Coturnix japonica: one gene and its partner. Each later gene encodes a partner of the first gene's protein in a complex. Links are inferred from orthologs where the notes say so. Each region holds a gene or a part of one and is shown on either strand. Other genes may lie near its edges. The genes, in order: TRAPPC9 and TRAPPC12.

Region 1 (3,127 bases):
CAACACATAATCTACTAGCATGAAAAAACAGATCCAATGAGTTTGCAAAAACCGATTCAAAGAGATAAGAATGGCCAGCTGATTAATTTTGGCGGTTCTTTAAGTGCCTGAAAACATTTCAATCTGTTATAATTGTATAAAACAGAGCAATGAAAGCCCAAATTCACAGGTAAGCCCCAGGAAACCCAGAAGTTGACTTATTTCCTTTCTCAAGGACAAACTCTTTAGCTTCTCATTTCTTAATAGATCTACAGAAGGAAAGGCAGTGACTCTACCAGGAGCTGAGTGGCACTCAGCTCAGGGTGTGAACAGAATAACTGGAGGCATATTTACTATTTTTACTTCCAGTAGCATAGGAAAAGGCATCTTTACTCCTATTTACCACCAAAGACACCCAATAGTCAGCAGAAAAGTGAACTGCAACAAGTCTGAGAACTATTCTGACAGAGAACCTACTCTTCCAGGGTAATGGAAATCCAGTGTAAGCCAGGACAAAATTCATACAGAAATTTCAACTCTTGTTGGAATGCTAAAAAGGGATTATTTAAGTTGGAGCTGAGACCTTCAAACACATGGTTAAGTTCAAACCTCTTAAATTTAGCACTTAAGACTCTACCAAATCCACTGATCTCAATAGGCTGTATGAAAGTATAATGCATATATTAGCAGTTTCAAAGATTTTTTGGAATCAGTGGAAAACTCTAGCATGGTTATAATCTCTCTCTCTCTCTGAAATTAGCAATAGCAGCTGCCCAAATGACTATCAGACAATCCAGAAAGCATTCAGCTGTTCCTCCAAAATAGGGACTGTGGCCTGGGGTTGGACAGAAACAAGCTGGGGTCAAGCAGAGGATGTGCCAAGCATTTCTGCATACTGCTGTTAATCAAATAGCACACAGCACATTTACAGCTTAGCTTCAGCCACAGGCTCCACAGCACGGATGTGGACACTGGGAAGGCAGAACCAGGAGAGAGGCAGCTCCTTGCTGCAGTTGTCTTCATGGAATTTGATATTCAGATAGAAATCGCCCGTGTAGAGGAAAAGAAGTGCTCCAAAGTACACAGAGTCTTTGGTTGGCTTTACCTGCAATAGCAAATGTGAAAATCAGTAAAATTAAACAAGCAACAAAACAAAATAATTGCACTTTGCAAGCCAGTAGCTCCTTAAAATTATCTCAAAGCACTCTAGAAATATTCATAAATTAAACATCTCATTATCACCTTCCCACAAAACGAAGTAAATTTCTTGACCCTATTCTAGCAATGGTAAAATGAGAAATTAAAATCCTGTGTTATTCAGTCACGCAGCAGTGATGTGGCACAGCTCAAACCAGAAGACCTCCAGTAGTCACTGATTTCAAAGCCCATTTGGTTTAAGGCAAAAGCCACCCATAATGTCCTGAATAATCAGGAGCATCTTCCCTTAGACTGCATTCATCGGAATTGACATTAAAGGTCTAAATCATGGCTGTGAACTCGTGCTAAACACATGGATAAACACCATTTAACAACCTAGCAGTAACTAAATTCGCCCCCACTTATTATGCAGACACAATCTGACTGCAAATTCTAATCAGAAATCTTTAATATTCGCTCCCACCAAAATAAGTTTATGGGATATATCCCCAAAACAGTGGGTTTTTACCTGTCCAAACTGAACACTGCACCGTTGTCTACATTTATATATCTCCCTTCATCACCAAACCATTTATGATCCATATCTTTATTGCCCATCTCTTGCTCCACCATTTCAGCAACACACTCGAGTAATTTTTAACTTTATCAAGCTTAACCTACAATTATTCAGCATGTTCTACTGTTTCAATAAACACCTGCTTCCACAAGATGTTAAATCCGTTTTCAGAATGCCTAGAACCAGGTTAAAGTTACTGCAGATATGAAACACTGAGCTGGCACAAAGTCATACCATTGGATGGAATTTGTTTGAGAGATTGTGAAGAGACAATGTCAGTCCAGCAGAACAGACTCAATTAATGGCAACTGATGCTCCTCAGTAGTAGTCTTCACTCTATCAAGACCATCCTACCAGTTCCATTCTGCTCTCTGGACCCTGAATAATTTCTCAAGATATCAGTACCCTACTCCCCCAGGTAGGCTTGTGCCCATGTACTTTCTTTTTACTTGAATATTCAGTGATAATGGGCTTTCTTTAGTCATCCCCAAACCCTTCAGTGTCCATCACAATACAGAGTCCAGAGCTGACTCCAATTGACTGTGACACAACACAGGTCAGCCAAGCTGAGACCCAAACCCACCTACCAAGGAAACTCTGGCATTGCATCCACAAGCACTATGCTGTCCAGGTGTGCACGACTTGACTGGAATCAGGGGAAAAAAATGCTAGCAAAGGACATCACTGGGAAATGAGCTGTTTGCTTCTGTTTTCTTCTGTTCCAGGCTTTTTTGGACTTTCACTGCCAGGCCCTTTAGCCAGCAGACATGTATCCCTTAGAGCCACCTGGGATATTAGGCTTCTTTGCTGCCTAAAATCCTGCTCCTACACCAGAACCTGGCTATTCACAAGTGTTAGTATCATCAGAGCTGGCAGAGCCCAGATTCCCTTTGGCTTTGGTGCCAATCACTTTTGCTGACCTACAGCAAACTTGTGTCAGCATCGTACAGTCCTAGTGAGTAATGAGAGCCGTCACAGCTGTTGTACTGACCCACGTCCTTGGCACCTCACCTCCTCGCTGGGTACAAGCGTGTGCCCTCTGGCATTGTGTCTGGACATGCAGAACATCAAATAGTCTCCCCTCCTCCTCCCTTTTCCTCCTGCTTGGGCTGCTTGCCTTATTTTTGCCTAACTGGAATTGATGCGTGCAGAGAAGGACAGAGGTAGGCACTAATGCAAGTAATGGGTGGAGATGAGCAGCAAATGAAGCCCCCAGTCCATTTTTTCCTTAATCTAGTTGCCCCATGGAGAAATATCTGTTAAAGCACTAATCACAGCTCTTGACAGGCAGAAAGGTTGTGTCTTCAGGCACATCAACATCAACACGGTCTCTTCATCTCTTTCAGGTTCTGCCTATGTGTTAGCAGTCCCCACCTTTATGCCATGAGCCTATTCAGCACTCACCTTTTCTTCATTTCTTCACTGTAAGTGGGA
Region 2 (3,002 bases), on another chromosome or scaffold:
GCAGAAGCCCATCGATTCTTCACAGAAATCTTAAGGATCGACTCATCGAATGCTGTGGTAAACCTCCAGATTGCTCCATTTATAATGAACGCCTTCATTATTGTTGTAATACCTTCATACATATATTTAATAAGTACCCAGAGTTGATATTGTGCCTGAGTTTTTTAGTATACAAAAGGGTAAGGTGCAGACAAGGATGGGAAATAAAGAACTGGTTTACACTTAGTTGTGCATATAGGCATTCCAAAACATTATGTTTAATGGGATCTTTGGGAGCTTTTTTTCCTGTTTTTATTTGCACTCACTGTTTTTAGCATAGACGTGCATGTCAGAAAAAGTAATGGCAGCTGCCACTGTACATGAGATTAACTTGCTTTCACACAGCATTGAAGGGATATTGTCATTTTAACACCTTGCACATCACAGCCTCTGTTTCCATCACAAAAGGCAATCAAAGAAGAGCAGGTTATTCACATTTTTCATTTACATGTGGCAGCTTCTTGTGAGTGGCTCCTGAGAACTCACACAGCTTACCCCTGCAGCCTCATCCAAGGCCACATAAGGACAGAGGGGACTGAGTTTAAGCAGCCCATGAATTGCATCATTTTGCAGGTGTGAAACAGTGCGTATGATAAACGGTGAGAAATCTACTAGTAAGGGTTCCTGAGGAGAGTGAAAAAGAATATTTGAAAGGGTATATTCCCTTATCTATCCGTTATCTACAGCTGTGAAGTATGAAAGTTTCTGCTGCTAAACAAATTATATATGGCTTTGTGGTGATGGAATCTGTTGGTAACTCATAAAACCTGATGTTTGGAAAAGAAAACGTGGAACCTGATATGATCATTTAAGATATATTAGACTGCCCTATTTACTGAACTTACCAGAAGTGGGTTGTAGGTATCTTTGTGATAGGGTCATTTCTTCCTGTTGCTCGTGTGGAACTTCTATACATAAGCCAGAGAGAAAATGTGTTGGAAGATACAGTGAAAATGTTAAAAAAGCTGTGAAAATGACAACATGCAGAGGCCTGTGAAGTTTCTCAAAGCTGATATCTATCTAGTGTCCTGTATTACAAAGACTGCTCCGAAAGAAATACCTCCCATTTTATTACATAGACCCACAATGTCAGAGGTGGCTATTGGTGGAATGGAAACCTTCCCACCAATATTCCATCACATTTTGTTGCCACGTGACAGATGGCAGCAGAGGGGCAGTCTGACAAAATGACGTCTGATATGAAAGTGTGAATGAAGCAAAGGTGTGGCTCTGAATTTCTCCATGTAGAAAAAAATTCACCCATCAATGTTCATCAGCATTTGCTGAACATTTATGGAGACCAAATCTTAGCCTTGAAAAAAGCAGGCTGAGAGGGGACTTGATCCAGGTTTATAATTACCTGAGGTGTGGGAGCCATAGTGGTGAGTCTGGTCTCTTTTCAGTAGTGTGTGGGGACAGGACTAGGGGTAATGGGATGAAAGTACAGCATAGGAAGTTCCGCACGAATGTGCGGAAGAACTTCTTTACAGTGCGGGTGACGGAGCACTGGAACAGGCTGCCCAGGGAGGTGGTGGAGTCTCCTTCTCTGGAGATATTTAAGACCCACCTGGACGCCTACCTGTGTGATGTGGTGTAGGGAGCCTGCTTTGGCAGGGGGGTTGGACTCGATGATCTCTAGAGGTCCCTTCCAACCCCTACAATTCTGTGATTCTGTGAAACAGCGAATGTGAGCACGGTGAGGCAGTGGGTGGTGCATTTCAGCAGTGGGTCACCTCCATTGGTGCAGATGAACGTGAGCTCACAGAAGTCATCATGTCCTACTGGCACAGGGTAAACCTTGTGAAAAGACGGAAAGGATATAAATACAGGAGTGAGAATCTATTCACGTTACTTGAGCATGCACAGAAAATAGTTCTTAGATCATGGTAAATTTGTTACTTCAGACTTCTTTTTTCCTTTATCATTCATGAATACATACATATGTGTATACACAGTTACTTACTTACGATTTGTTTTTCTTTAGGCTAATAACAACGCTGCTGTTTGTCTTCTTTATCTGGGAAAACTGAAGGATTCCCTTCGCCAGTTGGAAGGAATGGTTCAGCAGGACCCGAAGCACTACCTACACGAGAGTGTTCTCTTCAACTTAACAACCATGTACGAGTTGGAGTCATCGCGCAGTATGCAGAAGAAGCAGGCTCTGTTAGAGGCTGTGGCTGTTAAAGAGGGCGACAGCTTTAATACTCAGTGTCTCAAGTTAGGTTAGATCATTCCCAACGAAGTGTTTTCCTGCAGGGCTGATTTTAAAAGTTGTATATACTCTTGCTATTGTGTAAATGTAACATAAAGTCTATTCGGTTATAAAGAATCAGTGGCATTATTGTGTTGTCTCTTAATACTCATGTCATTGCGAAGACTTTGTGCTGACCTACAGCCGGCTTCACCCCTGCTTAGTTATTCCTTGTTACAATGCATATATACATACACTCCATTACTCAGATTCTTATTTTTGTATGAGAAAAAATGCATTTGACCTTATTCATTTTGATGCCTCCTTTTTCAGTAATTAGTGAGTAAATGATCTGAGCTAATTTCATCAGCCAGAAGTTACTGACCATGTATATTATGGAAAACCCAGTTCTGAAAGCACATTTATTCAGTTGCTTTAATAGCATGTGTCATTTCCCCCAGTCCAAATATTGACTACTGTACCTTTGTGTGTCCATTGCTCTCAAGTGAGGTTGTTAGATAACCATCATACGCAATCACAGGGTGGTGGTTGTTGGAAGGGACCTCTGGAGATGCTATTGCTCATTGTAAGTAATATTAGCCTTCCCTCATCTCCAGCATAGGTCACTTTTTCATCTGGGGGGATTTCTTAAGGATAGGAAGAAATCCCAGTGCATAACAGCCTTCATTGTATCCAGAGGCTGAAAGCACCAAACAAGTCCAGTCAAACAGTTTTATAAAGGCATTTAAATTAATAACACAGAGATCCCTAC

The links.
Region 2: TRAPPC9 (region 1) and TRAPPC12 share a complex: the UniProt entries of both Homo sapiens proteins name them as parts of the multisubunit TRAPP (transport protein particle) complex. The link is inferred for Coturnix japonica from reciprocal best matches to the Homo sapiens genes TRAPPC9 and TRAPPC12.

What each region holds. Positions count from the first base shown.
Region 1 is NC_029517.1:130,719,762-130,722,888, forward strand, and holds part of TRAPPC9 (trafficking protein particle complex subunit 9), read right to left. Parts: intron 1,085-3,127; coding exon 905-1,084; 3' UTR 1-904. UniProt on the Homo sapiens protein: Functions as an activator of NF-kappa-B through increased phosphorylation of the IKK complex. May function in neuronal cells differentiation. May play a role in vesicular transport from endoplasmic reticulum to Golgi.
Region 2 is NC_029518.1:85,500,425-85,503,426, forward strand, and holds the end of TRAPPC12 (trafficking protein particle complex subunit 12), read left to right. Parts: coding exon 1-57; intron 58-2,023; coding exon 2,024-2,266; 3' UTR 2,267-2,380; downstream 2,381-3,002. UniProt on the Homo sapiens protein: Component of the TRAPP complex, which is involved in endoplasmic reticulum to Golgi apparatus trafficking at a very early stage.